Linked DNA regions of Arabidopsis thaliana. The protein of the gene in region 4 interacts with the protein of the main gene of each other region in a biochemical or structural test. Each region holds a gene or a part of one and is shown on either strand. Other genes may lie near its edges. The genes, in order: CIP8, SHW1, CAM7 and HY5.

Region 1 (5,603 bases), about 22 Mb from region 4:
AAGTTGATAATAAGAACTTTCCAATTTTCATCTTGGGCTGTACTCAGAGAAGGTAAATACTCTGTGGTATCTTTTCCTCCCAATGTCTTGTTACCATGCAAGTTAGGAAGTTATAGAAGACGTGATTTGTTCATTCGCTTTGTAGAGGAAAAAGAATTACATTACATATGGTTTTGAAGCAGATAGCTTTATCTGAAAACGTGATGCAACACTTTGCATTCTTCGATCATTCCCATTCACATTCAGTAACTTAACGAGTGCAGAATTTGGTGTATTCAGCCTAGCTTTGTATATTTTCTTTGCAGGTCTGCTCTCAAACATTTGCCTGACGATCGTGTTAAAAAGTTCAACTATTGCCTTCCTTGTGAGCTCTAATTTTGATGCTTAGCTGGTTGTTATTGATGTTATATTCTCAGTACCATGTTTTCATTTGCTTGAGATTTGTTTTCCCTAGACATCATACTGTAAATATTACTGTTTTACTATGATTTGCAGACATCAACAACCCATATAAGGTTGATGACTCTGAGAAGAGCACTGTGGTTAAAATAATGTTCCCTTCTGAGCCACCAGTAAGTTATTTTTGTCTTTCTTAACTGATCGACAATACAATTTGGTAGTTTCATTTTTAATCAAACTTACTTTTCCTTTGTGCAGGTTGAATGTGAATATGACTGGGTGAAAAGCGTCATTGAGGTGCAGTATCTGACTTTTCCAATAAAACACCTTACTTGAATTACTTCTCATCTCAGTTTATTTTAGGAATTCACCGACAGTCTGATCAATGAGGAGGTATTACTCCCGGAACAAAAGGTTGCGTTCGAGGTAAGCAAGCAAGAGCTGGAATTGATTTGATGAATTCATTTGAGGGAGGTCTCTAAAATCACTCACCCATATGTTTCCTTTTTTCAGGAGTTTGTCAAAGAGAAAAGTGACAAAGCTATGGCAGCTTATGACACGGTATCATGTTTCATACCCTCTGCTACAGAGCCGCACATATACTTAACAATGGATTCTACAATTGGCAGGCACAAGAAGCCCTAGAGAAAGCAAAGGAAGGACTGAGCGAAGAAACAAAAAAAGCCTATCAAGAAATGAGGTTGTACAAGTTTTATCCATTGCCTTCACCAGACACACCCCACACTGCAGGAATTGAGAAGGTACAAAACAAATCCAACTTAGTTTGTCAATGGAACTCTGAATATTATTGCCAAAATCTGATATAAGTTTGTTGGTCTCTGTGCAGTCCCCGTTCATAAACAGGTACTTCGGGAAGGCTCACGAAGTCCTGTAACCGTTTCTCCTAAACCCAGGAACCTTTTTGTTTCGGCAAACTTTATGAACAACTGAGAATCAAAGAAACCACTATGGGATTGTTTAGGCCAAAGATACAACACACTTACAAATAACAATTGTCTTTTTGGAGCCGGATTTTTTTTTTTTGTTCTCTGTTTTCTCGCTTCTTTGATGCAACATGCAACCAACCAAATAGTGTTGAGAGACTAAGCAAAGATTAATCTAAAGAGAAAGAGTAACAACAAAAGTAACAACAAATGGGGGCATTTCCTCCACTTCAGTAACGAGAAGTTGAAGAAGAAGAAGAAGCAGCAGCAGAATCTGACACGGTAGAAGTTCTTTTTTTCCTCTCTTCCTCATATTCAGCATCATCAGTCTCAAGCTGGAATCTACAGACAGGACAAGAGTTCCTTGTTCCTAACCATGGCACAATACAATCTCCGTGGTAACAATGTCCACACGGTAACTTCTTACCAGTTTCTCCCATCACCATTCCATCTTTACACACAGCACAAACCATAACCATCTCTCCCTCCGAAGAACTAACCTCGAAAGTCTCCAATGCCTCTATTGCCGATTTCGCAGCCGGTGGTGCGCCTCTCCTTCCTCCGCCACCACCACCATCTCCTTCTGCTAAATTCTGTAGCAAAGCTTCGTATCCGGCTGCATCGTCTATGTAATCAGCCGGATTTCCTGCGTATCGATCTGATTCCATACGGAACTCAATCGAATTGTCTTCGATTCCCATCAAAATCTCAGCCCAATCGAGAATTCTGTTTCTTCCGGTTCTCGACTGCGTCGTCGTGAGAGGAAAACGATTTCTCCTCCTCAGATCATCTTCTTCGTCTTCTTCGTCGTTGACGGTTAAATTCTCTTCCTCATCCTCTTCTTCTTCATCTCCATCATCTTCATCTTCGTCTTCGTCATCGTCGATTTCGTTTCTACTATTGAGCTCCAACCTGAAGAAATCATCTTCGTAAGATAAAACATCAAGGTGTCGTGGTGGTGAACGCTGAGAAGGCGCGTGGGCTAACAAGCGGAGCATCTGGAGGAAATGCGAGCCAATACTGGAGTCTTCTACATTCAGATCTGGGGAAAGTGGCTGCGGTGGCGCCGGCGATGAATAAGCGGCGGGAGTCGGTTGAATTGACTCGACGAAACCTTTGTTACATTCGCAGCACACGACAAAGTCATCTAAGGTTTCAACGACGACGCGTTTGTTGCAGTGATAGCACCAGTGCGACGCCGTGGCATCCGGGGAAGACGACGGAGCATCGGACATCGTGCAATTAATCGTCGGGTTTTCAGGCTTTCGGGTCCGGATTCGGATCCGATAAGCCGATTAAGAGGATGGAGAAAATAAAAGAAAAAGGTCTCTCTGTATTATTATTATCGAATTTTTAAGACATTAGAGAATCCTGCTCATTTACCCACTTGACCCACCCACAATATCATAATATTTTCTTCTATATATGATATCACCATCATCATAAATTCATAATACTTACAATTTAATCAAACTGTTCAATTGCTGTCAAACATAAAAATCAAATTGTTCAATCCAATTTAAACCAGCTTCCAAATCAAAACTGACTTGCACTTTTATCCAAAAACTTGATAAGATAAAGTACCATTTGACCCATGAAATTTTGTCATATCGAAAAGCATAATTTTAATTTCTTTTGACAACAATACAAACATATAACTCGAATACATAACTTTGTAATAGCGATACAATTGTTTCAACAGCACCCATAAAATAAAATAAGATTAAAAAACCCAAATCGTTACAATAAATTACAATACAAAGATGGCCTCCTCGTCTCAAGCATAGTCAGACCCACCATGAAGGTGATACATAGCGAAGTCTCTCCATTCACCAAATGTTGCAAATGGCAAAAGACCGTTTATGACTGGAAGAACAAACAGAATCACCACATACACGACACTGCGCCTTGCCCAATATGGAAACATACTGTTACAACGGTTCGATCTGGTCTCTTGAGTCACGTTTATAGGACCGAACATTAGACCATACAAAGCCAATGTGAAGACATTTGCAACGAATTGCAAAAGGCAAAACACTTCCCAAACTATTAGCCAGAGTTTGCCATCACCGCCCAATGTGTCCACACACAATTTACCCGATACACCGCAAAATATACCGAGGAAAAGAACGATGAAACTTATCGGCATTGTCTGCTTCGTACCTGATGATCGTTTGTTTAGAAAGTAAGTGAAGACAATGATCATTAACACACCGAAAAATATCTGCACCCAAACTCGAACCCGGCAGATGAAGGTGTTGAAGCCTGAGTTAATCGATGAAACTTGTTTAGGAACCCACCACGACGAACTTTTCTCCTCGGATTGGTCGCATACTGAGGTAGCATCCTCGATTCTCTTTATTGAAAAATTGTAAACGCCAAGTACCATAGAAGCCAACATGCTGAAGACACTTACGAGGAGCCAATCCATGATTCTTGTGACCATCTCTTCTTTTCTTGTATCTTCTAATTCGGTTTTGAATTTCTCCGCTCTGAATGCAGCTTTCGAAACATCCAACTCTAGCGCCGCTTTCCCCAGGTTGTTTGATTCAAATTTTAATCCTAGCGCCGTCTCTTTGCACCTTAACTCTCTTATTTGAAGACCAATCTCCACGGTCTTTAGGTCGTTTGCTCGTGTTTGCTCTTTTAAAAACCTTTCGTCTGTGGTCAAAGCCATTGCTGAACTTCTAGGAGGGACACAAGAGAGTTGTAGAGTCTCTTCGAAAAGGGCAAGCTCATTCATCAAAGAGGTTGCTGTTGCACTGCCTTGCATCACTTCATAAGCAGACGTAGCAGATGAAGTCTCCCTCTCAAATAGCTCGGTGTCTGAGCATCCGTCTATGGTAGAGCGATCTAAATTACAACTCCCACCATCATTATTGTTTGACTGATGTGGATTTGCACATTCATTGGTCAATTTAAGGATCTTTAGAGTACTGCTGAATGTTTGCTCAAAGTTGGTCGCAAAGGAACCAAGCTTATTACCATAAACCTGTAACCACAACATTATGAATCAGAAAGTCTATAAATATAAAAATGCGGAAAACATAGAGGGGGATTTTAGCTTACATTGGCTAATGATTCTTCGACAAGAGTAGCAAAGATCTGGAGAGCATAATCAATGAAGTTCTTGTATCACTACCAAAACGATGGCAAAAGAAAGATTGAACAGAAACTGAGAAGAAATCATTTGAAGTTCATACTACTTACCTCAACAAGATCATCAACATAAACATTCTGACCTGCGGCATTCTTTCTCGCAATAACCTAGAGAACAATAAAACAGAGTAGAAACAGAGTAAGAACTACAGAGCATATGCAAGTCAATGACTTTGGCGGCTAGGTAGGATGAAATTTGGTGAAATCACAATCAGAACTACAAATCCGAGTAGAAACTAGAAAGGCTCAAGCTTTAAGGCAAGTGAGAGAGAAGACAATATAAATTTGCAATGTTACATTGAAGCTCGATCATAGAGACCCCCAAGAAGAACTTCAGCTTCTATTGATTGACTCTGATTATAATTTGAGGAGAAGATCCTCTCTTCGATTCAGGGTGAAGAATTCACGCAAGTACTGAGAGAAGAAAATTCAGATTCAATCCTTTTGACTCTGATTCAGATCCTCTCCTCTGTCCAGTTTTGAATCAACAAAGCCTAAATTGAAAGACTTTGTATTTAATACTATCTAAAGATCAAAACTTTCAACACAACCAAAACCTAGTATTCACGCAAGGTCAACTATAGGAACAACCCGTACCAGCAAAGCCAATTTCGTATCAAAACAGTTATGTGATGCAATAAAGATCAAAGTTTGGAAATTGATCGAACCATATTAGCAAAAGCGGCAAGTGAAAAGCCCAGAGGCTTCGCCAATTTTTCAGCTTGTCGTTCACCAACGCTTCGTCGAGCCATACCTAACCGCATAGGGTTTCGTAATCTATGAACCACTCTCGTAACCCTTTTAGTAGAATTTGAATTAGAGGTAGAAGATGTAGAACAATAGGACGAAGAAGCTTCGTCGTTGTCCATAATCTCTTTCTTCTTTCCCTTGAGTTTTCTCTTTTCCAAATTCGATGGATTCGTATCCTTCTTCTTCTTCATCATCATCGTCTCATCTTTATGTACGTCACCAGATTGATGATTTGGCTTTGAATTCGCCGGATTGGTGATTTGATTTTGGGGTTCCGGCGAAGGAGGGAGGAGGAGGGCTTCCATAGCCTTAAAATATAACTTATGGGGTAAATTTGCAACTTTGAGAAAA
Region 2 (5,839 bases), on a different chromosome or scaffold from region 4:
AGTTGACTATTATAAGCACCAAAATGTCAGTCATGGTTTAACTTATTGTGAAATTAAGTCAGAAGTTCATGTTATCCCTTTCAATGTCTATGTATATCTATTAACAGTCAAGGCCGGTAAATCATTACAAATCTCAAATGTTCCACGTCCTAACTTGAGTTTGGACCGTAACCTAGGGAATCTTTTCGGAATTTCGATGGTCGCCATTTTCTTTTCTGTAAGATCAAAACATGTACGTCAGTTCGTCGTCGAGCAAAAACGACAAATATTTGAAATAAGAATATCTTCAGATTCAAATAATAGTTTTTACACTTTCCATTATGATTGACCGAAACAATATTTAATTTGGTAAGTATGAGATATACATGACGTAAACAAACAACAACAAAATACGATATACATCGTATACCAATTTGATATATAAATTAAAATCAAAACTTTCTTGTGAAATGTTTTCATGGTTCGTATTAATAGATGTGTAATCCATACATAAAATCGTATGTGTAATTTAGGAGTTGTTACAAAATTTAGTACTTACAGATTTGGAGTGTAATTATTATTACTTAACTAGTTGAGCCCTTAACAGGATGAATGAATTTGAAATTTCATAGTCTATGGTGTACTGCTACTTTTTATAGTTTCCACAGAGATTATACTATTATATTATGGAAAAAAAACAATCTGGCTCTGATTCCCAAGACTTATTAGAAGAGAACAATACAGTTTACCGAGAGTTGTGGAAAAAGTAATTAAACAAAATCTCAATTACGAGTTAACTTTATTTATGATTTACTTTATGTATGACTTAATAAACCCTAGATACTTCCAAACTTCCGCGTCTTTGCTACCAACTCAGAGTGACGACGACTCACCTTCTTTCTCACTTTTTGTAGCGTCAAATTTTCCGGAAAGTAAACATCTTTGAAATTTCTTCATCTTATAGTTTTTGTGTGTTTGTCTATACATTTTTCTTTTAACTACGACTGATTCATAACTTTTTTCTAGAAAGAAAACAAAGACTCAATTTATAAAACATTAAAACCAAATAGATCTTAGTTGTAGTTTAAGAAAAAACAAAAAAAATATATCGTAATTACAGTTTATCCATGTTTAAACAAAGAAAAATAATTTCAAATTCAAACAAACCGATATATAGGGATATCCCAAAATCATACCCGGATAAAAAAAAATTGCTCAACTAATTAAGAGTTACAACTTTAAAGATTGTCTTTTATTTCCCCCTTTAAAAATTCATATTGTGTATAGGTTTCAACTGCAGCAGCATAATATATTGAATATTCTTAAATTATTCACAAATTTATTAAATTGTTTGATGTCAAATTGGTATAATATGAACTTTTCAAAATATATATTCTTTTCGCTTTTGTAACACATGAGAAATACAGAATCCGCGTTTCCTGATAACATGTGTTGATTTGGATAAGTTGCGTGCAAAGAACAATGAAAGTCAAAGATGTAGCTATAGTAACTCCAAGACGGTCTAGTGTAGTGTGGTGGTTTCGACCTCTCTATTTTCAAGATCTCACTATTTTCATCAATGTGTACGGTACGAGGTTTTACAGAAATTAACATCATCAAGAAAGACACATTAAGTATTTACGTCTTACCAAAAGATATGTCACCCTTTGATCCAAAAAAAGAAGAAGATGATGTGTCCACATAAACCTAATTTATGATTTAGCATCATTGAATTTATGATTTGTCTATATTCAAATATAATACATTCTCTTTGATTAAATTCAGAGTAAAATTTTGAACTCTGAAAATAAACAAAGGATCGATCTATATTAAAAGGTTTTAAATAATACAAATCACTCCTAAAACCACATTGTATTCTCGACATGATCATGAATGACAAATACACTAACTCTGTGTCCAGCTTGTTTTGTTCCCTCCAGCCTAACACCTTCGATTTCAACTCTTCTAAAGCTTTTTTGCATCATGTTATAGTAATAACAACACAATGGTGTATTCATTAAAATTACACATACGTTGAACAACAAATATCAGGAAACATTACAGGAAACATTCTTTTATCTTCTTAGTTTCGTCTTCTAACTCTTGATAAACTACATAATTCCCTAGCTATATTAATGCACACATTTATCTTACATTTCCCTTTACCAATTGACGTAACAAGACATGAGTTACAACATCTCACACCCAAATGGGAGTAAAACAAGGTTTTAATTTACCGGGTTTGGTCCAAAAGAGTTCCCATAAGTCTGGAAGAACGAAGCTGCCGCCCAGAACAACCGTATCAGCAGAATCACCGTAAACACAGTTCCTCCTAGATTGCATATTACCTTCCATAAAAGTTAGCAACACATATCCATGAGATCACACTCAACTAAAACAAGTTACTCTAATTCATAAACGCTCATAAATAGTGTATGCTACACATACAATCCAATGCAACTATCAGATCAAACTAGCTTCAACAAGAAAGCTCAAAAACCAATCACACAAAACAGAATCAAACCATATACGATTCGATACTAGTGATTCAATTAAGTAAGCAAAATGGTAAAAGATTACCTCAAGAAATGCTCTTGTAATGGAAAGTGAACCTAATAACAATATCCCATCTACTGCAAAAGACACCTGCAAATCATAAAAACAGAGGAAACATCAAAAGTGGAAACTTGAGGATAAAGAAACAAAATTTCCCACAAAACTGAAGAAACACTTAAAAGCTTTAATGGAGAAGAAGAAGAGACTCACGAGTCGAGGAGACATGGCAGCTGGCAAAATCCGTCGCGATGCTTTTTTAGTTCGTTTCGAGACTTTCTTGAACATGCTTCTCAAGAATCTGATCAAAAGATCGACACTGCTTTCTCTTTCGTCTTCTTCATCATCATCGTCGCTAAATCCGTCGTCATCGGGAACAACATCGTAATTGTCACCACCGCCGAAGAATCTATCGTCTGATTCGTATCGCCTACGCGACTAAGGATAAAGAGATTGAGTAAATTCGGATTCGGATTCGGATTACACAATTCTATGAGTAGGAGATAATCAGAACGTACGTGGGAGCTAGACGAAGCGAGTGAGCGATTTAGGCGGCGGAATCGGCGGCGGAGGAATATAGAGTTAGAAGAGAAGGGAGTTACAGAGACAAATCTGTGTGAGGCATTGATGAGAGTTAGCGATGGTGATGATGAAGATGATGATAAGGTTGTTGTAGCTGCGGCCATTTGTGAGCAGAGAGAGTAACACCAGATGATTATTCAGTGATTGTAATTAAAACGGACCTTTTTGATAATTAAATACATTTGGGATACTTTTGTAAGTATACATAAACAAAAGGTACTGTTTCGTAGTTTTTACTTTGGTCGTGACCGAGTTTTACTTTTAGACTTAAAAGACTTTTTTGATAATTAAATAAAACCTCGGCTATTTTAGAAAAGCTACATAAATATAGGGTACCATTTATACTTTTATTTGAGAGAGAAAATCAATTTATTTCGGCTAAGTCTCGATTGCTTATATGTTTCTCAGATTATCGACCTCTCGGTTCTTTGCATAAAAGCATACATAGGGTCGTAAGTAGTGACGACTAGGTAAAGAAAAAGTTTGCTAAAAGTGATATATGTAAAAATAATTTTTTTGTTAAAAGTGATATATGTGCAAAATATGATTTTAGACTTGATATTGAAGAGTTTACAAAGCGGGTGGTGGGAGAAGCCACTTGGATCCTTGGATGTAGCCGAGGGATAGGAAACGGTTAGCTTCTTTGTCGTCAATGTCTTGTGTGAATGGTACTCTCTTGGCTTTGTGTGATCCTGGTCCTGAACACTTGTACTCTCCGTAGAACACGGTTCTGTCATTTTTGATATAATCAGCATAAAGGACATGGACCGATTGGGTGATATTCATACGATTTTTTATGTAATGTGAAAAGTGGGACTTACTTGTCATGTGCGGGAGTCTTGTTTTCTTGCCATCCGGTGGGGTTGACAACGCTGGTCATCTCGGTGTAGGCATAAACAACCTTAGGGTGGCTCATCCATGCTCTTCCCAAATAAATTCCTCCACCGGTTCCAGTCACCTTGCAGTGCACGAAAGAGTATCCACTCTTCTCTTCTGCGCTCTTTCCTGCATGCGCTGCTATCACTCTAATACCGTCTCCAACCACGTGCAATTGTGTTCCCTTTTGAACTCAAACATGCATTAGAGATCTCGCACTTTATGTATTAAGAAATAAGTATGAGATGTTACGTACCAAGTACATAGAGGTTCCACTTCCGAAGATGAAATCGAATGTTCCTTCAACGTAACAATCCTTGAAGAAATGGTTTCCTGTATCGTCACAGATTGTGTCTTGGAAACCGTAGAATTTGCAGTTGTAGAAAGCAGCAAAATTTCCGGAGATTCTCATGGATAAAGCTTGTGCTCCCTTAGTTTTACCATCTGGTGCCGGCGCAGTGTTCTACATATGCAAAAAAATAAATCACTCGGCCATGAAATAGTCGACTAGTCACATAGATGTATGATATATAGTAGGATCACTTACCTTAACGACGATGTTAACGGCCATGAAATAGTCGGATAAGATAATGAGAGAGGCGCTATCAACGGTTCCATACTTGGCGGCGGTACCGTCATAGGTGATAACAGGCATGGCATTGGGTTGTCCCATCAATGTAATGAAGGGTTTGTTCCTGTCGATAGTGACCTTCTCTTTGTATTCACCAGGAGCCATCTTTATGATCACCCGCTTTGTGTTCCCTGCAGGAACGCTCTTTATTGCGTCCGTTAGTGTTTTGAATTCACCACCCTTTGGATTCACCTGCAATAATTTTTACATGTTTTTCAAAAAAATTGTATCAAAATCTATTGGTACAAAGGATGAGTTTAAGACAATAAGTGTGAATAGTACGTTGATGATACGTGGAGCAGCCTCAGCAGCTACAAGAGCAGGATCTAAGCCTTTACGTTGAGCCAATGGACCAACGTTGGCATTGAACCACTGCGCCACTTGGGGTTTGCCCTCTGGGATTGGTGTCACATCATCTGCGAACACCATCGGTGTAACAAAGACCATCAACAGGCCTAATAAAATGGACACATTTGTGTATCCCATTTTTTATTTTATTTTTATTTAAAAATAAAAAGTTTTTTTTGTTTTATTATTTTTTTTTGTTTTTTTTCGTTTTTTTTTTCTGGATGATTTGATGGAAAGATGGCCATGAGTATATATACTGTTTCAGAGACCTAAATTGTTTTGAGTTTTGTTCTCGTTTGCTATTATTGTTTGTGGTGATCCATTTTTGCAACCCGCTATAATTTCTCTTGGAATTTTGTATGTTTTCAAAATATTTTATTAATTCTTGATAGATTTTACTATTAATATTTTTACTACATCGTTTTTTTTTTTGTGATTTTGATAAGACTATACAACTGTTAATTTATGTACCATAAGTTTATTAAAAAAACAATTTAAAAAAAAAATTTGATTAAATCCATGTCGAGAGACACATCCGAGGAGGTAACAACATCAACATGTTCACCAACACCATTTTGATAATAACATACCTTTGGGCTATATTTATAAAGATGGTTTCTTAAAAGCTTTATGCAAATAAAAATTAAAAGCATTCAGATTGACACCTCTTTCAAGAAGAAGCTGCAATCAAGAGGACATAAACATGTTATTTTTCATTTACAAAGACTCACAACAAAGTTTAAAAGATAAACAAATTTACTTGAAAGATCGAGATTTTCATTTTTGAAGAGCAATTCTTAGAGAAGTATGTCCAACTTCATTCTGAGCCTCAATATCGGCTCCACAATTCAAAAGCAGCTGAGTCATACA
Region 3 (7,617 bases), on a different chromosome or scaffold from region 4:
TCGAATACATCGATGAGGTCTGGAAAGACGATAAGACTCTCCGTCTACTACCTTCTGATCCTTATCAGAAGTCACAGTGTAGATTTTGGGCTGATTTGATTGACAAAAAGGTACTACTAGACTTTCTTAAAACGTTACATTTTTGGACGATACTTAAGAATAACAAATACAATCTACTAAATACTTCATAATATTAAATGTTATGGTGTGTATATAAAAAGTTCAACGAAAGGAGACTAAAAGTTCAATTTCATTGTGATTCATATACAAAAATATAAACAGGTTTTTGACGCTGGAAGAAGAACGTGGACAAAGAGGGGCAAAGAACAAGAAGAAGCGAAACAAGAGTTCATAGAGATATTGAAAGTGTTAGAAAGAGAGCTTGGAGATAAGGTCTACTTCGGAGGAAACGACAACGTTTCGATGGTGGACTTGGTTCTCATCTCCTACTACCCTTGGTTCCACACATGGGAGACTATTGGTGGTTTTAGTGTCGAGGACCACACTCCCAAGCTAATGGACTGGATCCGTAAATGCTTAACCCGACCCGCTATCTCGAAATCTTTACCTGACCCGCTGAAGATATTTGATCGAGTCACTCAGATCATAAAGGTCCATGAGTTTTTCTATGGTTATTGATAGTCTAAATCATATGCTCTATTTATGTAAGTTAACCAAAATAATAAGAAATGTTGTAATGCTTAAGGAAGTAGTTGGTGTGAAAAAATTTATTTTTCATTTGATATTATAATTGAAATAAAATGGGTTTGTTGTTCTTGATATATCATAAGTTATTTTTATTATTATTATCCTATGTTGATGGAAAACTTTTAGAAATTCCTATGTTATTCAATTATATAACAATGTCGATATTTGGTAAAGAATTCAATTATATATCTTACTATAGTTTAACTTAATTCTTGATGTAGTTTCTTGTGGAATGGTATATAAACACCATTACTCTCGATCTTTATTTTGCCATATCGTCTTTCGATGCGAAGGAAATGGGAACATAATCCAATACATCATCACCAACACACTGATTCTCGTAATGAAGACTTGTCCAGTCTTTTTCTAGTTTTAAACAAAAAACCATTCAAGAATAATAAAATCTACAATATGGAGTAGCAGCAATAGTATATTAAGTCTTGGTCACTAAGTGTTGAGCAATAAAATCTTCCATGACAGTAAAGATGATGTTGATATTACATGCGAGTGACTTACGAGATATTATCATGACATTATATATGGTTAAACATTTTGATAGATTTTAACTCATTTGTTTTTCTACTTTTATCTCTCAGTTGTTACAAGACTGTTTAGTGTGTTATAGTTTTTGTTTCTTTAATTTTTTTAACCTTTTTCTTTGAGTTTGTTTAGAAAACAGTACATTTCCGTAACTTAATTGGAGAAGTAGTACAATTACTATTTATAATTACTAAAATATTCGAAAAAGTTTTTGTTTGGTGAGAGAGAAAGAGAGGTGTAACAGATTTAAATAAAGAGAAAGAGAGCATTTGAGAGGGAGACGTGGGTCAAAAAAAATTTTCTAATTTTTTTTTCTTTTCTTTATTACATTTCATTCTCTCAAAGTTTAATAATTAAAATACTTGTTTGTAAATTTTATTTTTCTAAAATTGATCATAGAAAAAAAAATCTATGTTTATCGTTTAATTGTTAACATTTCGGCGGTTGGAGACACTACTGGTTTTGTTTATCGTTTATCGTTTACAAGATGAATATAAATCTATAAAACTGTTAAAATTCTAAATTCCTAGAGATAAACTTGGTAACTTAATTTTTTTTCTTAGGACTAAACTAAATGGTTTGAATCCAAGTACATAATTGTTAGTCCTCTACCAGCGGCTCGCATGGTAATCCACCAACCAATCTTTTCTTTATGCCATTACGTAGCCTATATACAAGGTTATTATTATGTTTTTTAAACAATCCCTCGATATATGCAAGTTATCTACTATTAGCTTTCACTATTCTTCGTCTTCATTGTTTTAAGTTAGTTCTTGATCAGCAAGTACAGTGAGCTATAGAATCGAGCAAGAATGAGAGCGGTGGCAGAGGAGATTCAAACGGCTAGGAACGCGATGTGACTCGGGCTGTGAGGGGTTATGCTGGATCAATTCTTTCTCATTCCTTTTAGCATTTTTGGTCTTCTTCTTTTTCTTTTTCTTCTTCTTCTTCTTCCTTTTCTTTATCAATTTACTTGCGCATTCCCAAACATGACTGAGAACAAGAAACAATAAAAACCGAGTAGTTGGTTCCTTCTTTCTTTGGGGTTTAGAAATGAAGAAGATAATAGAATTAACTGTAAAATGTCAATTCTTTTTTGTTTCTTAGTTCGTCACAAAAAAAAAAAAAAGAGAAGAGAGATATATGAACTGAATTGCATAAAAAGAGTCTTACATATTACTAAAGAAAACTTAATGAGCTTGAATGTTAAATTGACAATAACTAAATTAGAAAAACTCTATAAAAACAAACTTATAGTTTATACGGGCCGACCGGATCAGTCGATAAGATTTATTAAAAAAACAAAAAACAAACAAATTTATGGTTCTATTAGTATATAGTTGATACTAATACTAGAACTATGAGTCTATGACTAGTATAGTGGAAATTATAATAATTGTTATAAATATAACTTTAATGACTAACTTGTAAATACTAAAAGTTGATTTTGCATAAAATAAAATATAATTCAATTTTAATATAGAAAAAAATTAAACAATTGAGGAAAATTTATATCTATAATTAAATAAACATATAAAATAAAATTAAATAAAAAACATATAGAACAAACTATTATATACGTTTATGTGTATTATAAATCCAAATATCAAATTCAAATTAGAGCTAATGTTATAGTAAGAAAAATGTCTATACGTAGATAAATTAGTTTTTTTTCAAATATAATCTAGGGGAGAACCACACAAGATGGAGTAGTTTGACAGTACTATTACTCACAAGATAGGCCTTCATCAGCTAATAAACCCTCACAACCTTAACAGCCTTATCAACCATACCATTGGGCCTTAAGTGGGTATTTGAAATAGAAAATGTTTGATCCCAAGAACTTTTACTACTACTTTGTTCTTGCAAAGACACTAAATTTTAAACAATTACAGTGCACGTTTTTGCAACTAGTAAGCAATTATTTCTCCACGTAATGGATATAATTAGTCGATCTCAATAAACTGCAATATTTTAGAGAAAAGAGAAAATAACATCATCAAGTGGTCATGACTCGAGAGACTAAAGCAAATTATGAGTTCAAACGTCACGGACAATAACAAAACCAAAAGGCAAAGAAGAAGCAACGTTACCAAAAAATCACGATCAACAAAACAAACAAGGAAGCAAATCTCTCTGTTTCTTTTGGTTCAATAAATTACTTTTCTCAGTTTTAAAGATGTAAAAGAAAAACATGCTTAGGATTTCGAGGGATAAGAAGAATCTCACTTTGCCATCATGACTTTGACGAACTCTTCATAGTTGATCTGACCATCACCATCGACGTCAGCCTCTCGGATCATCTCATCGACTTCCTCATCCGTCAACTTCTCCCCAAGATTTGTCATCACGTGACGAAGCTCAGCCGCCGAGATGAAACCGTTCTGGTCCTTGTCAAAAACCCTGAAGGCTTCCTTAAGCTCTTCCTCTGAATCAGTGTCTTTCATCTTACGTGCCATTAGGTTCAGGAACTCTGGGAAATCTATTGTCCCGTTCCCGTCTGCATCCACTTCGTTGATCATGTCCTGGAGCTCGGCTTCTGTCGGGTTCTGCCCAAGTGATCTCATCACAGTCCCAAGCTCCTTTGTGGTGATACAACCTGCAATCAAACCAAAATTGGACACAACTTCAGATTTTGTAACGCAAGAGTTCCGAGTATAACTTTATGAACACTAATATTGTCAACAAGATCAGGAAGATATATAAACCAATTATCTTAAACACAAGTAATATGTCAAGTTTTCAAATGCAAGAAAGCTCAAAAATGCTCTTAGTAAAATATCCTTACACTACTAACCCCAATCATAGTATATCTCATTTAAAAGGACGACGATTCGACAAGTAAAACTGATTGTTCGGAAATCATCTACCAAGTTAACAAAGAAACTTCTTGCACACAAACCACCAAGCAACATTTAAAGCCTCTTTCTAATCAAAGGCCAGGAAATGCACAATGTTCTAAATATGATGGTATTCTCTTAGTAATCAAAGGCCAGGAAATGCACAATGTTCTAAATATGATGTTATTCTCTTAGTAATCAAAGGCCAGGAAATGCACCTATTCTCACAAGAAAGCTCAAAAATGCTCTTAGTAAAATACTCTTAAACCCCAATCATAGTATACGACAAGTAAAACTGATTGTTCGGGAAACATCTACCAAGTTAACAAAGAAACTTTTTGCACACAAACCACCAAGCAACATTTAAAGCCTCTTTCTAATCAAAGGCCAGGAAATGCACAATGTTCTAAATATGATGGTATTGCCAATAAGCATCACAAAATGCACACCGTTGCAAGTTCTCAACTATTGTAAAGAAGAACAACAGAGATGATATTATCAACTTCTTTCTCTATTTTTCTATTTGGCAACATCACACAATAAACCAAATTTCGTTTTTTAGATTTTGAGTATAAACATCTGCAGATAAATCTACATGTTACAATTGAATCTTAAAACCACAATGCCACTAAATTTTGTGAGAACGTACAAATCCGCATGATTATAATCACAGGATTTGTTCAGAATCATAGTAAATCACAGAGAAACAACTAGATTCCAATGTACGATTCCAATGTAGGATCTAGAATATGATGAATAACCTAATTAAACAAGATTCCATAACTACAAATCTTAGTAATCATCAACGAATATACTAAAGGAGATTCTACATATTCTAGATCCTTCTATAGAAGCAAAAATCAACCCTAAACACTCTGGAGATGTGAGCAAGACTGAACGAATCAAAACGAGATCGTTCTTCAAATCACATGAAACAATAAACGAAATGTGCAGAGATTCACGATCACCGCGAAGAAATCTAAAAAAAAAACGACAAGAGAAAGAGATCTGAGAGAAGAAGAAGAAGAAGAAGAAGAAGAAGAGACCATCTCCGTCTTTGTCGAATAGGCTAAAAGCTTCCTTGAACTCGGAGATCTGGTCATCGGTTAGCTGATCCGCCATTTTTTTTGTCTTCTTCGGATTTTCTCGAGAAAATTTTTGCTGTGATATTTTCTTGTTTCTGGAGAAAGTTGAAGCGCGTGAGAGTGAATGTTCCTTCTCCTTTATAAAATGAGATCTCACCAGCTACAGGTAAAATGAGGTATTTTTGAATTGACGATTTTGCCCTCCTAAACGTCTTTCTCTTTTAATTTCTCAGACCAAAAAATTAAGAAATTCTAGTTTTGGGAGAAATTTGTTTTTTAGGTTTGCAACTTAGTTTTTACTATTTTAGGCTAATCTACTAACTACTTATGTCCAGATCATGAACTTTCTGCTAATAGTTTTGAATTTGATATTTTTGTATTATTGTTATGGTATCTTGGTATGATATATATTGATGTAACCTGATATTATACATTGATATCCAAACATTGGTGTAGGCAATTTGATAAAATTCATTTTCTATTTGCTAAGTTTATTTTAGGGTAATATTAGATAACCAAATAAAACATACAAATTAAGAAACTAGTAGAGAGAAAGTTTTTTGTTACAAAATAACCATGGACCCATGTTGTCGGAAGAAATGAAATAACAAAGCTACCTTTCATTTGTTGTAAGATGAACTGTAAACGAAACACATTCGTGTAATTTTTCAAAATAACATGTAACATTAAAATTTCACATGTTATATTTAGTTTTAAAACATGCTATTTAAAAAAACGTCATGAATTTTTAAGAAAAAACATTATTATGAAATTTTCTTACATGAACATAATCCTTAAAAAAAATTTATATGTGATTTTAATAAAACCGTGTATTACTAAAAAATAAGAATATATTTTTAAAGAAATCACGTGTGATCTTAATAAAAAATGTGTATTACTACAAAATATCATGATAAAAAGAGATATTAAACTGAATAGAATGTTTTTTCCATAAAATACCATGTGCTTTTTATAAATACTATGTAATAAGAGAAAATAACAAGATAAAAAGAGATATTATGTTATCGCATGTATTTCGGAAAAAAAACATGTTACAAAGGATATTTATGTAATTACATGTGTTCTCCAATATGTTTCCGACAAGCTACTGTGACTCAAGGTTAGTTTGTACATTCTTTTCAAATCTATAATCATTTATTATAAATTCTCTTTATTTTATCACATTTCAAAATTATAACACAAGAAAGAAAATGGTTAGACAATAAATATTAGTAGACGATTGAGAATGATTTTACGGTTTTTCCGTAATTTAGTAGAAAATTTTTGTAGAAAAATTTCCCGCCAATTGCGTTGATTTTACGATTTTTAAAAAATTTATATAATTGTCATCAATTATTTTTATAGTTTACAATTATTATTAAGTAGCACTATACCACAAAATATTTTTTGATTTTATATAATCTTTTCTAATCAGACTGATTTGATAAGTGGTGCTAAAAATAATAAATTAAAGATTTAACCCGTATTCCAAAAAATAAAAAAATTCTAGTTTTGTGACAAATTTGTTTTTTAGGTTTGTAACTTAATTTTTACTAACTTAGGCTAATCTACTAACTACTTATGTCCAGATCATGAATTTTCTGCTAATAGTAAAGCAAAAATCAGATTTTCATATTGAATTTGATATTTCTGTATTATTGTTATGGTATCTTGATATTTCATATTGAATTTGATACATTGATGTAACCTGATATTCTATATTGATGTCCAAACGTTGGTCTAGGCGATTTTAACGTTAGTATATATTAAGGTTTACAACTTGTATCTATTTAAAGAAAAATTATATTTTATAGTTTATAATTGTTATTAAGTAACGGTATAACACGAATTCACAAGACAATTGTTAATAAACAGTGCAGTTATATGTTTCCCTTTGTATTCTGACTTCTTATTGTTGGAGGCTTCTCTGACTTTTTTTTATGTTTGTGATGGTAGCTCTTTTTGAATAGGTATGTGTGAAATGCGAGAAATGCAGAGGAATTTTGACTTGCCGGATATATAGCTTTGATCTATTGTTTGTTCCCGTTATTGTTTTGATGGTAGATTATTGCGTTGAGGTTAAGGTGTTTGCTTTTTCTTAGTATTATATCATAGAGCTTCTTTTTGGTATGGATCATTCTGTTCTTTTTGTTATGATTGACTTCCCTTCGTTATAGGTATGTTGAAGGTATAAAGGGTTTTTTAGTCGAAGGATGGCTTTGATCTATCCTTATTATTGTCTAACGATTTCATGTGAATCAATTTGTTCTTTCTTAATGGGTGGATAATTTATAACGCTGGATAAATAAAAATCACCAAAGATCATACATTTCTGGCCATAATGACCTTATGGTGGTTCCAGAAGGATGAAAAAGAAATTTAATTTTAGCTTGTTTAAGTATACAAAGTAACATGACTTGTAAAAGCTTTTAGTCAATTAACCA
Region 4 (5,703 bases):
GACAAAGAAGATGGAGATGATGAAGGAGATAAAGAAGTTGACTTCTTTTCTTTGTTATCATGATGGAATCTGAGTTTTCTCAAAAGGGTGAAGAAGCCTATTGCAGCTGCAACAGTGGTAAGGAAAAACGAAGAAGCCATAAAATTAGTAGGATCAGTATCACAGTTTTCTTATCTCTTTTCTTGCAGTCAACTATCACAGAGCTTTAAAGAGGCTCTGTATACAGTGAAAAACGTTGACTCCAATCTCCATTGACTGAGAATGTTGAAACTATTACATATATACCCCAAATTCTGGATATTTCTCACAGAAAATTACAAGAACGGGTCCTACATGAGCAACTAGCAAGAGAAGAAGCTTCGTTCAATAATGTTTCAATAGCAAAATGAGGTCCAACGAAAAAAAAAAACTAAATATAAAATCATAAGAAGCAAACAGCAAAAGGAAAATTTAACCTCACAAGCATAAACAAGACACAGAATGTAAGAAACAGTAAAAGGAAAGATAATGTAGAATGTAGAATCATAAGGATTTTTCATTGGTTGTGAGATTTTGATTCTAAGAGGAAAGCAGCAACTAAAAAACTCAAGATAAATTTCAAGAAAGCATTGATCAAAATCTGAGTTCCATGACTTAAAATACTTACATTGCTGTTCACTCCTCAAGCTTTCTCTTTGTCGGATTTTTTGCAAATTGATCAGCGATATTGATGATATGAGAGATTTCTCAGGTAAAACGTCAAGCCTTTGCCTCACTTCCTGTTCGCAAGATGCTAGAAAGCGAGATATTAGATTCTCTATTCGCCTGGATATACTGATGACTCTCTTCTTTTAATCTCATTATCATTGAATGGAGAGATTCATTTTCTTTGAAACTCCATCTGAACGTGACTGAGAAAGTCTCTACGGACATCTTCCCTGCGGAAGCTGGTAAAGACATGGAATGTCCAAATGTAAGACAAAGAAGATGGAAGTGGTAAAAGAAGGAGAATAAATTTTTCTTTGTTAACATTGATAGAATCTGAGTATCCTCAAAAGCATGAGAAATAATGTCAAACAATCCATAGTACACTAGCAACTAGCAATAGATGAAGATGAGATCCACGAAAAATCTAAAATAGAAAACAAAGAATCAGAAAGCATACAACAGGTAAAGAAATGTACGATTTTGTCCATGAAATTCGGTTGTGGCAACCCGATTCTAAGAAGGGAGCAGCAAGTTCAAGGTAGCAGTGACAGAAAACAATGTCTGGATTCCATGGATTTTAGAAAAAGGAAAGCAAAAGTGTAAGAAAACACTTACATGATTGCTCATCTCTCGAGCTTGACAAGCTTTGGCTGTAAAAGATCGACCCTACCCTCTTTGTCCGATTTCCGCATAATATGATCAACGGCATCTTCGTTTACAAATCCATGGCGACTTGTCTGTAAGAAATCGGGAGGGATAGGGGCAAAAAGGAAAAAAAAAAGAGTAAAGATTCCACTATCCCAGAATTTGTTTGGGACTTTGAACTGCGGGAATCGAAAACGCAACCTTTCTACTACAGTGTCACAATGTCATATCATAGAACAAAAATTAGCTTATTTTTGTTATAAAACAACATTATGTTTCAATTAAGAGAAATCTAAGACTACAATAAGAGAACTTGGTCTACAATTGCAATATTAGCTCTCACATCCCATATAATTTTAACATGATAATTATTGATACAATTCTCTGTAAATTTTATCCACAAAAATATAACACAAGAAGAAGAAGGAGATCAAAGGCTTGCATCAGCATTAGAACCACCACCACCTCCTCTCTTGTTTCCTGTTGTGTTCTTCAGAATCTACACCACATAAAAAACATAACAACTCAAAAGACTTTATTACCACACACACACATAGAGATCCAACTTTGCAATCTCATCTTCTCCATTCATATAGAACAAAATGAGTGAGCATTTCAAGAACCATTGAAGAATTTACATGCCTTTTGAGAGAATATGCGAGTGAATGACCATTTCAAGAACCTACATGCCTTCTGAGAATTAATCTAAAGCTTAAGTTAGCTTCTTAGATCCTTTTAACTAACTAAACTAATTATTGGTCAATCCTAGACTCGTAAATGTGATAAACCAGTACTGTGATATATCAAAAAACAAATGGCAAAAGCATTGACGTTGCAGGTTAAGTCAACAGTAAGATCGACAAAACGTACATGTCTAAGCATCTGGTTCTCGTTCTGAAGAGTAGAGAGTCGCTCTTCAAGTTCAGAGTTTTTGTTCTCCAAGTCTTTCACTCTGTTTTCCAACTCGCTCAAGTAAGCCTTTTTCCTCTCTCTTGCTTGCTGAGCTGAAACTCTGTTCCTCAACAACCTTTTCACCACAAAATTACCAAACAACCCCATCACGCAACCGTTATTTAACATAATCACCTTCCATATAAAGGGTAAAAATGTAAATTCAATGAATAGAGAAAAAGACACCTCTTCAGCCGCTTGTTCTCTTTCTCCGCCGGTGTCCTCCCTCGCTTCCTTTGACTTTCTCCGACAGTCGCCTGTGTCCGCTCCTGACCGGTCGCCGATCCAGATTCTCTACCGGAAGTTTCTTTTCCGACAGCTTCTCCTCCAAACTCCGGCACTCGCCGTATCTCCTCATCGCTTTCAATTCCTTTAAAACATAAAAGAGACTTTAGACGAAAAGTTTCAAACTTTTTAAATACAATAAAAAATTGCAGATCTTCTGGGGGAGACTAAAAGTTGTGAATCTAGATGTGAATCAATGGTGATACAAAATCTAGATGTGAATTTACTAGATATCCAATGCATGAGAATGAAAATCAATGAGATCACTCGTTGGGAGAAGATATGAAAATAAAACAATCGACAATTTTTGTTTACCTTCTTTGATCTCCAAATGTGGAGCAGAGCTTGATGACCTCTCGCTGCTTGATGGTAAAGAGCTTGCAGCTAAAGAGCTAGTCGCTTGTTCCTGCATTTTTCTTACTCTTTGAAGATCGATCAGGCGAGAGAGAGAGGGAAAGATTTGTTGTCTTAGTAGCGAAGCTGGTGAAAAGGATAAAGAGGAAAAGAGCGGGACTTGGGATTTACAGAAGAACTTGGAAAGAATCTAATTGCGAGACATTTTGGGAAGGAATAGATTACTCTGGCTACCGCCGTCAGATCTCTGAAGAATCGAACGGATATCGAGAGTGAATCGTGGAGAAAGGTGAGCCTTGAGGAAATACAAGGATCCAAAGGCAATTGAGATTGGAACGTGGGTGGATTTTAGCCGTTAGATCTGGTTAGCATCTTACGGTGAATAATGGATAGGGGAGCTAATTGGGTGGGCCCCATTCCTGTCCTTGGACAGAAAAGTTTGGTCTGAGTTCTTTCATTCTGTCACATGGCCCACGCCTAGGGCAGTGCTTTCAAAAGTGTCGTGAAAGTAATTTATTTTATTTTTGGTGATTTGTTTTTGTCATGCATTAAAATTAAACTTTATAGCCGCCATAAACCAAACAAAGTTGAAACGGTTTTCTACAAGACACAATCTCAGCAAGGAAATAACTAAAAACTGAATACAAGATATCCTAAAATTTCATAGTCCAACATATCCAGCCACACCATTGGACAGAATCTACTACTATAAACACTCCTCGTATCACCAAAAAAACTTGTCCTTGACGACAATGTTGATGAGTTTCTGAGAATCAAGTATACAAATCATTGCCATCTCAACGTTAACATTAGATCAAACCGGAGCTTGATATGGAGCTCGCTTATCTGGAACTCCGTCTTCTGCTCTTTTATCTTCGAACCACTTCAAAACTCGCTTCCTTGGAAGATTGGTCACTTGAACAATGCTGCTAACCACAGCATTCTATTCACAGCATCATCAAACATGATCATATGTGAGATAGAGCATTCAAGTAACATAGAAATTGATTCAAATGTAAAAGGAGAATCCTTACAGTGGGTCGTTTTGATCTTCTGTAAACTTTCTCTAGCGTTTCAATGTGAGCTTTCTTCACTCTTTTCTGAGCAGACCATCTCTGTTGCATCACATGAACTGCTTCATCTTTTACTTTTTCCTTAGGTTCGACCACAACATCTTCAGCTGATAATGATTCCACAGGACTTGGATCAGGTGAGGAGTTCTCAGGTGCTGCTACTGGCGGTTTTTCATCTGGTAGTGTAGCACTTAGCATTAGCAGCTTTGGAGGCGGGTCACGAAGCAATTCAAGAACATAAGCCCTGTCAAGACAAACCTCAGCTGCCAGATTTTTAATCTACAGATCACAACAAAACCATCCGTTATCAATTATGCATTTGAAAACCAGAGAACTACTTGTTCTTTGTCAACTCTTAAACAATTCGTAAGCAAAATCTCCAAAGCAGACACTAACTCAAGCACTATGCTTTACACAATGTATTCAACATCACTTCAACACTGAACTAAAACTTACACTAGTTTTACGACGCCCAGCTTTCAATGCATAAGCCAGTCTTTTAAGCTGCCAATTCTTCAGCTTAGTCGGTCTTTCATCTTCTTCGCTGTCATCATCATCATCATCATTATCATCATCATCATTATCATCATCATCATTATCAACATCAACATCAACATCACCAGTGACTGAACCAAACAAGTCGATGTCATCAACATCGTCACCAACACCCAATGCTCGAGCTAACTCATCGGCTAATGCCTCTAACTCTTCCTCACTTATCTCCTCATCATCCGAGTTATCATTCTTCAAATCTTCTTCTAAAAGATTAAACAATGCCTCAAATGGATCCTCCTCCTCCTCACCTCCTCCATTATCAGCTCCATCCAAACTTTTCTGCCACAAACCATGAAATCAAAGGCTGATACAAAATCAAAAAGAGCCAAAGTCTAATTCGAGGATTCACCAATTCTAACCGATAATAGCTCACTTAGTTAGTGTATCCAAATTCTAGTCAAATTCGGCGAAAGCAGCAGGTAAGAGCAATTGCGAACATAAATCATTCTCATTCTGATTTTCTTACCTTTTTGTTTTTCTTCGGAGACGAAGAAGACGAAGACACGAATCCTTTTCGATTCTTGCCACGAGCAAAAACAAGTACAGACCGAGACGGATTGAGAATTGGAAGAGATAGACCACAAGGACTAGCGTTCCGATTCCGAAACAGAACTCTGTTGACGGATAATCCTGACGACGAAGAAAACGACGGAGGATGAAGATGAGAGACGACGCCGGCAGAAGATAGAGCCATGGCTTTTATCATCAAAACTGTTTGCTGTTTTCAGCAGCAGTGAGAAAAATAATCGGATTTTTATATGAATCTTTGTAAACGACGTCGTTTATCCCTTAAAGATCTAAACACTGACTCCGTTTTGTGTTTACAGTGTAGCAAAGCGTGTCGTTTATAAAGTATTTATTTTGTTCTTCGTCGTTATCGTCTGGTAACAACGGGTCCACTCTGCATCTCTCTCTCTCTCTCTAGATTTGATTTCTTTGCGGGCTTGTTAATGGCGAACCCAGGGCAATCAAAGGGATGGATAAAGAAATGGACGTCTATGGCTTCATCGGTTTACTTCGTCTTGATCTTATTCCAGATCCCTCTCTTCAGGTAAATTCATACTAAAACAAACTCTCAGCTGCGTAATTCGAACCCTATATTTCGTTATCTAGTGATGCGTCTATGAATCCGATATGTGGACGACGCTTAGTC

Evidence for each region.
Region 1: the proteins of HY5 (region 4) and CIP8 form a complex in vitro, tested with the Arabidopsis thaliana proteins (one study listed by BioGRID).
Region 2: the proteins of HY5 (region 4) and SHW1 form a complex in vitro, tested with the Arabidopsis thaliana proteins (one study listed by BioGRID).
Region 3: the proteins of HY5 (region 4) and CAM7 form a complex in vitro, tested with the Arabidopsis thaliana proteins (one study listed by BioGRID).

What each region holds. Positions count from the first base shown.
Region 1 is NC_003076.8:25,942,765-25,948,367, forward strand, and holds CIP8 (COP1-interacting protein 8), read right to left. Parts: upstream 2,679-5,603; 5' UTR 2,579-2,678; coding exon 1,574-2,578; 3' UTR 1,351-1,573; coding exon of another isoform or gene 1,247-1,350; 3' UTR 1,227-1,246; downstream 1-1,226. Other genes in the region: AT5G64910 (Serine/Threonine-kinase), read left to right, coding at 1-52, 306-364, 496-572, 658-696, 763-825, 913-960, 1,029-1,160, 1,264-1,350; CPR5 protein, read right to left, coding at 3,121-4,335, 4,413-4,448, 4,554-4,610, 5,171-5,557. UniProt on the Arabidopsis thaliana protein: E3 ubiquitin-protein ligase that mediates ubiquitination and subsequent proteasomal degradation of target proteins. Probably forms a minimal ubiquitin ligase complex in cooperation with the E2 enzyme UBC8.
Region 2 is NC_003070.9:26,339,865-26,345,703, forward strand, and holds SHW1 (short hypocotyl in white light1), read right to left. Parts: upstream 3,368-5,839; 5' UTR 3,219-3,367; coding exon 3,051-3,218; intron 2,971-3,050; coding exon 2,746-2,970; intron 2,626-2,745; coding exon 2,560-2,625; intron 2,328-2,559; coding exon 2,208-2,327; 3' UTR 1,630-2,207; downstream 1-1,629. Other genes in the region: PPME1 (Pectin lyase-like superfamily protein), read right to left, coding at 3,685-3,844, 3,936-4,174, 4,247-4,453, 4,538-4,813, 4,904-5,107. UniProt on the Arabidopsis thaliana protein: Negative regulator of photomorphogenesis modulating both light and abscisic acid (ABA) signaling pathways.
Region 3 is NC_003074.8:15,661,146-15,668,762, forward strand, and holds CAM7 (calmodulin 7), read right to left. Parts: upstream 5,325-7,617; 5' UTR 5,211-5,324; coding exon 5,135-5,210; exon of another isoform or gene 4,489-5,134; intron 4,336-4,488; exon of another isoform or gene 3,848-4,335; coding exon 3,478-3,847; coding exon of another isoform or gene 3,474-3,477; exon of another isoform or gene 2,987-3,473; intron 2,242-2,986; coding exon 2,043-2,241; 3' UTR 1,855-2,042; downstream 1-1,854. Other genes in the region: GSTU27 (glutathione S-transferase tau 27), read left to right, coding at 1-110, 283-639. UniProt on the Arabidopsis thaliana protein: Calmodulin mediates the control of a large number of enzymes, ion channels and other proteins by Ca(2+). Among the enzymes to be stimulated by the calmodulin-Ca(2+) complex are a number of protein kinases and phosphatases. Activates MPK8 in vitro.
Region 4 is NC_003076.8:3,591,821-3,597,523, forward strand, and holds HY5 (Basic-leucine zipper (bZIP) transcription factor family protein), read right to left. Parts: upstream 3,184-5,703; 5' UTR 2,981-3,183; coding exon 2,884-2,980; intron 2,654-2,883; coding exon 2,470-2,653; intron 2,360-2,469; coding exon 2,098-2,359; 3' UTR 1,975-2,097; intron 1,832-1,974; coding exon of another isoform or gene 1,763-1,831; 3' UTR 1,541-1,762; downstream 1-1,540. Other genes in the region: AT5G11250 (Disease resistance protein (TIR-NBS-LRR class)), read right to left, coding at 1-140; OCP3 (overexpressor of cationic peroxidase 3), read right to left, coding at 3,737-3,865, 3,957-4,274, 4,452-4,829, 5,017-5,256; AT5G11280 (tail fiber), read left to right, coding at 5,501-5,601.